3 linked regions of the Nothobranchius furzeri genome follow. The protein of the gene in region 1 purifies or fractionates together with the protein of each later gene. This does not show direct contact. Links are inferred from orthologs where the notes say so. Each region holds a gene or a part of one and is shown on either strand. Other genes may lie near its edges.

Region 1 (3,757 bases):
TTGTCCATGTTCAGCAGATCTGCACAGTGCTTGTCTCTTTTAAAAATATCCTTGAGGTCAGACTCTAGATCAAGATCTGCCACGACAGGATCCTTGACAACCTTAAGGAGGATGTTTCTCTCCATCTCCAGCCGGTTCTCCCGAGGATGGATTACAGAGCAGTAGGCGTTCTGCCGCTCCACCAGCAGGCCTTCTAGCTCCTTCAGGGCGGCTGCAGCACGAAGGTACCAGCTGTTTTCTTTTTCCAGGGCGTCGTGCAGAACAGTACCTGCAGCTCCACACTTTACAAACTTATGCTTCTGGTCATTCAAGGCCTCTCGCTCCTAATGAGGAACAAAACAAAGGGTTTTTATTCATTTTAAAAGGAGAAAAAAGGAGGTATACTAATAAAGGCGGAGGCTCTGGAGACTTACCTGCTCCATCTGTTTGCGTTCCTGTATAAGATGCTGGGAGTGTGAGACCAGAGCCTGCTGGTAACCTTTCGCCCTCTGCCTCTCCTTCTCCAGTTCCAGCTCCAGTGTAGCCGCTGCTCTGCGGCTCTCTGTAAGTGTGTCCCGGTAACGCGCATCCATGTCACTTTGTATCGTACACACATCTCTGTCATACTGAGCTTTAACCTTCTCAATCTCCTTCAAAGATTCACGAGTCCAGATCCAACCTGACATGATGAAACACAAGAAACAGGAAGATATGTGTTTGCTGCCATTTGTGCCCAGTATTTCCCCACATAACCCAGACTGGTTTGCTTCTCTTGGATATTGAAATATGTAGAAACCCATAAGGACCACAGGCCCTTTTAACTTACGAAAAGCAGCCAGTCCCAGCATGGGGACCAGCAGGGCATAGTTCCACTGGTTTCCATCACCAGCAGCCCCCTCTCTTCCTCTGGGATCTGGTTGAATGTTCCATCTGGGGGGGTCATTCAGGTTGTTCATGGAGGTTTCTGTAAACAAACACAAAGAAAGCAGCCAAACCATAAGTAATATGAGATTCTGTAACAGCAAACAGCTCTGACTACTAAAACTTACAAAATATTTGCAATGGTTTATTATTTTACTGAATGAAAGCTTACATATAAAAAAACTATATTAATTCTTCGCATTGGTTAGCATGTAAACATCAATAAATTCAGGAAATTACGGGTTTCTGACAGAACATAAACAATGCTAGCTTCCGTTCAGCTAGCAGGCTAAGCAACCTTTATCTTTGGGTTTTATCTCACAAAGTGTATTTCAAGTTACAAGGGCAGCACCGCTTTACTTTTATTTTATAACACTGTACGTCTGTTGAATAATTACAGTGTTGCCTCACCTTGAATAATGTCTAGGTCACTTATGCATTTGTTCTTTCATATATCCCGATTTTACGTTTACGTGCTGGTCCACACACCGACAGGTGTGATTGTAGGAAACAACACAAAAAGATTTTCTTTTAATGCCCAAAATAATTTGGCATTTTATTCCATAGGCATATTTAATAGAGTAATAAATGTATTCAAATTATAGTGTAATTCAAATGTATCTAAACAAAAATAAAATTGGTTGTAAAACAATAGATCACCCCTTTATAAAAAGTGGTTTCGTCTCGACTGGTCCGGCAGCGAATCTCTTCCCCCCGCAACAGTTTCTTGCTGAAAACATGGCGACTGTTCGTGCTGCGTCTCGTCTCCTCTCCAGGAGAGTTCTGTCCAGAACAAAAGCAGTGAGTCACAGTAGCTTGGTATTTCAATAAATTCTTATCTATGTATACTCGTGATACGTTAATAAGTTTTGTGTCAACTGCAAGTGAACGTTTAGCTTTTGCCAACGGCAGGCCGGTCCAGCTTGCGTAATGTGTTATGTAGCTTCAATGTGACACAGTGGAAGAAAGCTGCACACCTCTCCTTTCTGTTTTCTGTCACTTTATTTATTAGGACAGCCGTTTAAAGGCCTTATTCGTTCAGGATATTCAGTTCAATTAAATTCAAGTTTATTCATATAGTGCCAAATAACGACAAGAGTCGTCTCAAGGCACTTCACATAGTAAACAATCCAATACAGGTCAGTTCATTAAGCCAATCAGAAAAAAAGTTTCCTATATAAGGAACCCAGAAAATTGCAATCCTTTACAGCTATCCTCATAGTAAGCAAGCATTTAGCGACTGTGGAGAGGAAAACTCCCTTTTAACAGGAAGAAACCTCCAGAGGATCCTGGCTCAGTATAAAGCCAAGCGTACACTGTGCGACTTTTTTGAGCCGATTTTCCACTCGTACGAGAATCCACAAGATCGGGGCGAGTTTTGCACTGAGCATCGCGTAGTATACTGGGGTTACGAGCGGCTATTAACACCACGTGACCAGCTACCGATCAGCAATCGTGAGCTCGCACGGACTTCTGGCGTGTTTGATATTTTGCTCGTCCCTCGTGAGGGTATCGCACTGTTGAAGCGGCGCTGCGAGCAGCTGCGACCCAAAAAGTATCAGAACCGCTCATGGCGCTTGTGCAATCATGCATCGACACTGCTCGCCCGCTATTTCCCTAATAACACACGTTGTTCGTTTTTATTTCTACACTTTTTTTTACTCACAAATATTGTCAACAAAGTTTGTCTGTCGTGTTCATGTCAAACTAAACTGATCACAAAACACAGATTTACTTTCTTTATTTCGTTTTCCTCATCCAACCCCCATAAATCCCTGTGTGTCCTCCTGCAGCACTCCCGAAGGACAACAGGCAAAACAAGACAAAAAAGTCTGACGTGTTGTGTAAATACAGCTATTTTTAGCATATTTTTAGGTCCGACGTGTTGCTACCAGATGTACAGTGTGAGCAGTCAGGTTGCATCCGAGAACTGGGTCGTACAGTGTGAGCACATGACTCGTGAGATCTGCTCTGCGAGGAAGTCGTACAGTTTGAGCTGAAGCTGAGTGCTACGAGTGAAAAAGTTGCACAGTGTCCGCCCAGCTTAAGCAGCCATCTGCCACGACTCACTGGGGATCAAGAAGACAGAGCAGACACACACACACCATATATACCAAGTAGTGTGTCTATGGTTACTTTGTGATTTCTTAGTAAATATTCTAGTTGGTGAGAGATAAACTTTATTGTATTCATCCTAGTGAATCTATAATTAAACGGGTAAACTAGTAGTAGCACATTCAGTGTCAAAGAAAGTAAAATGTTATTATCAGGAGAGGGAGAGTGTTTAAATGGTTAGCAACAGTCACACCGTAGTGTTTGTCTAACAGACCACCTAGATCTGAGCATTTGTTCACATGTTATCAGCCAGAGAGAGTCACAACAGGTTTTCTGGTAGCCATGGTGGTGATTCTCTGTGCTGGGTATTAATAATATTTACCTAATTATTATAAATTGCATTTCCCGATTCCTTAAAAGATGTTGGTTTTTTTTTTTGTAAACCTATAAAAATAGAAGATTCCCATGTTCACAGCTAATAAAACAAACGTGACCTTTGATCTAATCCCTATTAAGTACGTCAACACACACATTTACTATTCACCAGTGAAAGACTTAAAGATGTTTTTGTTGTGCAAAGTTATTAATTAGTTTTTTTTTGTAGTTAGTTTTTGTACTGGTCTTATCCGTATTAGCAGTAATTGTGTTGTGTAATTTCTCTGTCAGCTTCCTGCTGTGGCGGTTCATGGCTCCAAGAACTTCCACTTCTCCATTTATGGGAAGAAGAAAAGTGCCAAAGTATCTGATGATGTGAGTTTTACTTTCATTAAAGGAGACATATTATGCTTTTTAATTATTCCTT
Region 2 (3,757 bases), on another chromosome or scaffold:
CAATGTATAAAGAGAGTCTCACTGAAGAGTCTCTTCCTTTATGTGCATTCCCATCTTTTGGTTTATCCTCTTTTTTAGCCGAAGCTTCCTTAGTGATCGTCTTTTTGTCTTGATCAACCGTTCCAGTAAGAACAGCATCAAAAAGGTCGTTTGCTTCCAAATCCTGGGTGAGAAAAAATTAACAATAATGTTGACATTTTTGAACAAGAAACGCTTTTAATTTATATTTTCCACTTATTTTATTACATCTCTGATTTTGATTTTAAAATTATCTTAATTTTTTGCATAATACAACTCACATAAAATTGTAAGCAATGAACTTAAAATGTACAACGATTAACTTTAACATTTGATACAGATTAAATAAGCTTTCCCGTTAGGCTCACCTCATCGTTCGCATGCAAGTCGCTGTATATATCGATGTCGTTTTTGGAGGAACTCGGTTCGGCTGCAGGTTGTGCAGCAGCCATCGTGTGGGCCTCAGATGCCAACTGCAGGCACGGAAGCGTTTTAGTTGCTTCGCTTATTTTACCTGTTCAGTTTGCACAACAGCACTGTGCACATTTATGATGCACAACAAACACTGCCCCGATTTTTCTAAAATTATATACGTTAACGTCAGTTTTCACGCTAACCGTCCTCGCTTCGCTCAGGTCCGCAACTACTAAAAAAAAAGCTAAATCTTTAGCTAAAACAAAACACCAAAAAAACAATAAATTTAACGAACTACTAATTCAATTAGGCAGTAGTCTTTACCGATAAATTAACACATAACCAAACTATTTATCTCGCATGTTGGCTACCTGATAAGCTAACGCTCCTTGTTTTTTCACTCAGTGCGTAGGAAGTAATTCCCCGGTAGAGAACAACAATCCACTTTTTGGGTCCTAGGCTTAAATTCACATTAAGTTAATTTATTTGGGAGTTGTGCGAATATTTACAGATACACAAATTAACCAATAATGTTTAATATTTATTTCTGGTGGCTTAAGCATGTTTCTTTTATAGTTACATTTCTCTTTCATCTCTCAACCTCAACTTATGTGCGCAGTCGGAAGTTTGCCGTTGCAGCCCGGTGGTGACGTAAGAGCGTTTACAAGCTAGGCATACTTGTGTAATTTTGTCGAGAAAGACATTTGTGAGAAGGAAAACGCTTAAGTCTACCCACCGGTACAAGAAGAAGTTTAATATGCTGTCTTCTTTTGTTGCGAAAAGGGTGAGTTCTTGGTTTTTCTACTGTGTGTATTTTAAGATGTGAAAAACCACAACAGAGTTAAAGCTCTCTAATATCTGTTTTAAAAGCACGATCGCAAAATGTGCCGTCATGTTTGACCTCTTATAGCCTTGGTGCTACAAATGTTGGATGTTTACAATGTTTACTGTTGGAGGATGGTTGCACAACACGCTTGATGTCATATATATAAACGTACATATAATATACATTAACTAAATGGCTAAACCGTTATTTTAAAGGTAAATGATAGACATGTTTTTTGTGTCAACAAAAATAATCAGCACAGTCCAAGATCACATACATTTAAGCTGTAAATGCACAATATTTAGAACCACAGGTTTATAAGACAGTCTAAATATTTTTTAGTAATCTTTACCAAAACATGTGCAAGGTTTCAGATGGTATAACCTAGTGTATTGTATCAACAAAATACATTGCATCAGTTGAACAACAGAATTTGAACACATCACAGAAGGAAATAATATGATTGTGTGTTTTGGTTTTCTGTCAGCTGCTTACAGGGGTTTGCCAGGCAGCATGGAGACCGTCAATCATAGGGATGGTATCATCCCGTGGTTATCGTGGAGACGCTCCTGATGGCCCCCAGGTTGACCTGATTGAAATCCCTTTGCCCCCCTGGGTAGAACGGGCAGATGAGCCCATTGACACCAAGAGACGTCGGCTTCTATATGAGAGTCGTAAGAGGGGCATGTTGGAGAACTGCATATTGCTCAGGTTTTCACACTCAGTCTTTTCTTTATTGTAATTGCAGGGTAACTGCGGGTCCTTAAAAAGTCTTAAATTTACTTTTCCAAATTTAAGGCCTTGAAAATCCTTAAAAATTACAAATAATCCTTAAATACAGTTTCCAAAGGTCTTAAATTACCAAAGACCCAGTAAACTAGATTATTTTATTCATTTTTGTGAATTTCTAGTTAGTCTTCAGCATTTTTTGTGTATAATGTTGGCGTAAGCGGAACCGTACACATTCAGTTGGTTGTGAAAGGGGGCTATTTTTAGATGAGCACATTAGCTGGTTAAGCTAGTGGGAGCTTGTGCCGTGGAGAAGTGCAAGTTTAATGGTAACTGGATGATTAATTCCACGTTCGCGACGTGGTTAGCACCGGTCCCAGGCAATAGCTGGAAATTATAGCAGAAATAAAATTGAAAAAAAAAAAAAGCTTAAATTTGGTCAAAGTGGCCTTAAATAAGGTCTTAAAAAGTCTTAAATTTGGCTCCCATAAACCTGCAGATACCCTGAATTGTCTGCCATTGAATTCACAATAATAGTATATGAGGTGACATTTTGGAACTTTACATATTTTAAGGCAACTTTGCTGATGCGGCTTCATGTATTTTTGAAAGTGCAGTCCACTTTTCAATTTGGAGTCTAATAAATGCCTCTTGTCTCTTGCAGCATTTTTGCCAAACGATACCTGAATAAAATGACCTATAGCCAGCTGCAGCAGTACGACAGGCTGATAAATGAACCAAGCAACGACTGGGACATCTACTACTGGGCCACGGGTGAGAGAGTGATTGTTTTTTCTTGACAGGTTTTTCTTGGACAAGCTTCTTATTGTTTATTTATTTATTTGTTTGTTTTAAGTTCTATAGCTTTAACCTTTTCACCATTAAATATTGTGGATGTAGATTTTCTCAGTGTTTGCTGTCAAGTTATTTCACTAGCTTGGGTTAAAAAAACAGCCTTTGTGTGCGTCATTAAAAATGATCTTCTATCAGCACTTTAATCGATAATAGTAATGATTTTACCAAATGTTCTTCACTTCACTAACTATGAATCAAAGCAACAAAAAGTTAACAAACTTGCAGGAAGCCACCTCTTTGTTTTAAGATTTTAAACTTTGCTAAATCATTTACCATTGAGTGACTTCTTTTCAATTTCAATTTTTTCATTTATAAAGCACCTTCTACCACCTTAGCTGCGGCCCAAGGTTCTGAACTGGACATAAAAAATCTGAGTAATAATAATAAAAAAAATCAAATTGAATAAAAATCCGTTAAAACAAAAATAGACAAATAAAAGCTACTAAAAACTGCAATACAAATGATAAAAATTTCTTTTTCACTTGCTGATTTGAAACCAAGCTGAAAAATAGAAATATTGTAAGAATGGCAACAGCATATTATTTTGCAGCAGCCCGGAGTACAAAAACAATTTTCAGATAGTTGCGTTGCACGGAAATAAATGAGGCATTTCTATTTTAAAGCATAGCTTTTTAGGTTTTATAACCAGCTTTGGCTGAGAAAACTACTATATGGAAACATTTATTTACACATAAACCAATCAGATTTCAGAGGATCTATCCTGTTTGCAAACTTCAGAGCCAATTGTCTTATAGTTCAGCTTCTTGCTTTTAATCCAAGCAACATTTTAACTCAGAAACCTCACTAAATTGGATCCTTCTCTATTTACAGAAACGTATCCTACTCCTGAAGTCTACCAAGTAGAAGTCATGGAAATGCTGAAGGAGTTTACAAAGAACAAAAACCACGAACAGA
Region 3 (3,757 bases), on another chromosome or scaffold:
AAACAAACAAACAAACAAACAAACAAACAAACAGACAAACAGACAAACAAACAGACAAACAAATAAACAAACCCAACAACAACAACTTTAATACTCCATTGTCCTCATTCTGATAGTAAAAATTCTGCAAGTTGCTGCAATGCTACCATTTCCTGATGATGTATTTCCAGTAGCAATTGAATGGGTAATAATTGAATAGGTGTATGTAATAAAGTGTTAGGTGTGTAAATCTACAGCAAAGCATTTGAAATGTTTAACCTATGTAGATCTAATGCCTGCATCAGTGTGGAATTAGAATAAATTCAGCTAAGATGCTTGGAAACCTTTGTATAAACTCCATAATCAGAGACTTACCATGAATATCTAAAATGTAACACAGTTCTGAAAACTTTTACGTTAATACTTTATTAATACAAAAAGTTACATACATATACATATGTACACACACACACACACACACACACACACACACATACACACACACACACACACACACACACACACACACACACACACACACACACACACATATATATATCTATCTAAATCTATCTATATATATATATATCTATATCTATATATATATATCTATCTATATATATATATATATATATATATATATATATATATATATCTATCTATCTATCTATCTATCTATCTATATATATATATATATATATATATATATATATATATATATATACATACATATCTATCTATCTATCTATCTATCTATCTATCTATCTATCTATCTATCTATATATATATATATATATATATATATATATATATATATATATATATATATATGTATATATACACACACACACACTTTTTTTTTACTAAATTCAGAGCTACAAAGATTAGGAACAAACATTTTCACACATCTTTCTAGATGAGTGGATGTGGGTGTTTCCACCTTAAGGACCGCCTCCATCCTGCTGTCAATCAATGAACATTTTCTTCTCACTGGCCACTACGTCATCTCGTTTTGCGTGTCAACATGGCGGCATCCATGGCATCCCAGGCTGCAGCTAGAAGACTGAGGGCAGCTACATCAAAACACATTCTTCTGGACAAACTAAAGGTACCGGTACTGCTCGTGTCTCTACACAGACGCTTTTTACCCTCTCCGGCGGGTTATGGCGGTGTTGGACCGCTGTCACCGTGGTTGCAGTAGTTGTAGAGCTAGCGTGTTAGCATGTGTGAGAGAAGAGTTAGGGATCACAGTTCAGCAATGTGACAGCTCCGTGGTGACACGCTGGGTCAGTATTAATCACTGCAATTGAAAACACCTTACAACAAGTGTTTTCCTAGAAATTATACCTTTTCAGCTGGAGTTTTTCTGAAAAATCGTTCACTAAAGTCTTGATTAGCTTTGGTCTTAATCAGACTGCAAAGGTTAAGTGGAGCTTAACCTTTGTAGAGTTTCTGCCCATACTACAACGTGTTAACTTTGTGTGTTTGTCGGTTAAAATATCAAAATTGAGTATATTACGTGTTACATTTACTTTTATAATCTGTCGTAAATAATACCTGCAGTTAAAGACAGCTTTAGATCTGACAAATGATACGTTGTACCCTGTTCCTAGAACACACTGCAGCTCTGCGTTTTGCACTATAACCTCATTTAGATAAGCACAGTACAAAGGTTAACTCTTGCCCTATGATCTAATATCTATGAGGTGTTAATAACGGCTATCTGCCATATTGGATTACCGTTTTCATTTGTCAAAATATTCCAGCAGGATTTAACTCTTAATAAAACAAGTTTTATATTGTTTAATGACAGAGACAACAAAGATGTAACAATAAAAATAAATGGAATGGACATTCAAAAGGTGAAAGAAACGAAATTTTTAGGAGTCATGATTGATGAAGCTATCACCTGGAAGTCACACATAGGTTATATCAGAGGTAAAATTGCCAAAGCCATTGCAGTACTACATAAAGTTAAGTTTTTACTGAATAGTTCTGGATTGCTGACATTGTATAACTCACTAATTGTTCCATACTTGACTTACTGTGTAGAAATATGGGGATCCACATGTAAAACTCGTACACAATCACTGTTTATTCTACAGAAGAGCATTGAGAATCATTAATAGCAATCACTATAGAGATCCATCCATCCATCCATCCACCCATTTTCTGAACCCACTTTATCCATGCAGGGTCGTCGTGTGTGTGTGTGTGTGTGTGTGTGTGTGTGTGTGTGTGTGTGTGTGTGTGTGTGTGTGTGTGTGTGTGTGTGTGTGTGCTTACTTGCAATGATTTAGGTAAATATTGCCCCCTATCGCTGGGGAAAATACACACGTCACTTTAAGTTGGCTCAACCAAGTAGATAATTGGCCAATGCCAATACATAAAAAAAAAGGTAAATACCGGCCGGACACATTGGCCGACTGATAAATCGGTCTACCCCCTCTTTGCATTAAAAAAGCCCAGCTTTCCAAAAATAATTAGTTAAAACTGATTTGTTCTATGTTTAGAAACCATATAAAAACGTAGTGAATCTCAGCTGGAATTTCTGGTCATAAAATAGATTTTGGAGTCTTGCTGGTTCCATTGAAAATCCTGGTTCTACTGTGCTTCAGAAGAATCTGGTAGAATCACTCTGTTTTAGTGGTTTGATCCATTCAAAGGTCTTCAAAAGTAATTCTTACATACTTATAATCTCACTTCAGGCTTTTGTACCTTCTGGTCTTCTTCTTCAACTCATCACCCACTCATTTTCCCTTTCTCGGTCTCGTGGTCTCTCTTGAGTAAAGTGATAAGAGTAATAATCAAGGATTCTCTCTGGTCCACAGCACAGTATCGGAGAAGGAAATGATTGACAGCAAGGTATCGCCACAATAGAATCAAATCAGGTCTGACAGTGTGTCAGCTCAGCTGAGAAATTCTATTTGAGGTGGTGTGTAAACAGCAATACAGAGGACATCACAATTTTCACATATTTAGGCTCCAAAATGCTCCTCAAGGAGTCATGGGATGATGTTTCTTTCTCTCACTCGTAAATCAGATCTCTAGAGTTCTTTGTGCACAGTGAGATAATCCTCAGGCTGTTTTTCACTCTCTGTATAGTGGTGAATTTGTAAACATTTAAAAGAGTTAATGTCTTGCAAGTTGCCCATATTTAGTAATAATCCAGCAGTGTGGAAGTCCATTGTCTTGCGAAGTCACACTGGGAAAGGTGGCTCGTGAGACTTGGTGCTGAATATTTTATTGAGGGGGTGGAGAGCCCTCTGCTTGCAGCGACTTCTTTTGCTGGAACTTCAAACGATGGAAGGTTTTCCCATCTGTTTCAGCTAGAACACATTTACATTTCCTCCCCGCAAGGGACACTGGAGGACGGAGTTCGATCTTACTGGATTTGAATATCACTCTCCAAGGTTAATAGCCATTTCTGTAGCTGATGTGGTTCTTTGGCTTTTTCAATAATTTAGAATGGCTGCAGTCATTAGGAAATGTTCCCAGCATCTAAAATGAGGAATGCAGTGATTGAATGTGGCAGAGCTACCAGCAGCTTAATTTCGGCTATTGTTCTGTTTTGGAAATTATACAACAACTATACAAGGTCCGAAGATGAAGCTAAAACGTCTATGCTCAACATTTTTATAATTATACACTCAACATATCAACAGCTATATCAAGCCTTTTGCTTTTTCTATACACTTTTTATTTGCACAACAGTGGTGTGTTAGTGTGTGCACCTGCAAACTACTTAAGGAAAGCTGGGAGTGTTGTGATGCATCAA

Evidence for each region.
Region 2: the proteins of sdha (region 1) and sdhaf2 purify together in Homo sapiens (co-immunoprecipitation; 3 studies listed by BioGRID and IntAct, counting the BioPlex papers as one, with this or other methods). This does not show direct contact. The link is inferred for Nothobranchius furzeri from reciprocal best matches to the Homo sapiens genes SDHA and SDHAF2.
Region 3: the proteins of sdha (region 1) and suclg2 fractionate together in Homo sapiens (co-fractionation; 3 studies listed by BioGRID, with this or other methods). This does not show direct contact. The link is inferred for Nothobranchius furzeri from reciprocal best matches to the Homo sapiens genes SDHA and SUCLG2.

The regions. Positions count from the first base shown.
Region 1 is NC_091745.1:56,806,020-56,809,776, reverse strand, and holds the start of sdha (succinate dehydrogenase [ubiquinone] flavoprotein subunit, mitochondrial), read left to right. Parts: upstream 1-1,317; 5' UTR 1,318-1,488; coding exon 1,489-1,719; intron 1,720-3,621; coding exon 3,622-3,705; intron 3,706-3,757. Other genes in the region: coiled-coil domain-containing protein 127, read right to left, coding at 1-323, 414-977. UniProt on the Homo sapiens protein: Flavoprotein (FP) subunit of succinate dehydrogenase (SDH) that is involved in complex II of the mitochondrial electron transport chain and is responsible for transferring electrons from succinate to ubiquinone (coenzyme Q).
Region 2 is NC_091749.1:62,797,038-62,800,794, forward strand, and holds the start of sdhaf2 (succinate dehydrogenase assembly factor 2, mitochondrial), read left to right. Parts: upstream 1-1,064; 5' UTR 1,065-1,189; coding exon 1,190-1,216; intron 1,217-1,745; coding exon 1,746-1,969; intron 1,970-2,651; coding exon 2,652-2,761; intron 2,762-3,673; coding exon 3,674-3,757. Other genes in the region: cleavage and polyadenylation specificity factor subunit 7, read right to left, coding at 1-163, 387-470.
Region 3 is NC_091743.1:57,342,449-57,346,205, reverse strand, and holds the start of suclg2 (succinate--CoA ligase [GDP-forming] subunit beta, mitochondrial), read left to right. Parts: upstream 1-952; 5' UTR 953-1,003; coding exon 1,004-1,087; intron 1,088-3,757. UniProt on the Homo sapiens protein: GTP-specific succinyl-CoA synthetase functions in the citric acid cycle (TCA), coupling the hydrolysis of succinyl-CoA to the synthesis of GTP and thus represents the only step of substrate-level phosphorylation in the TCA.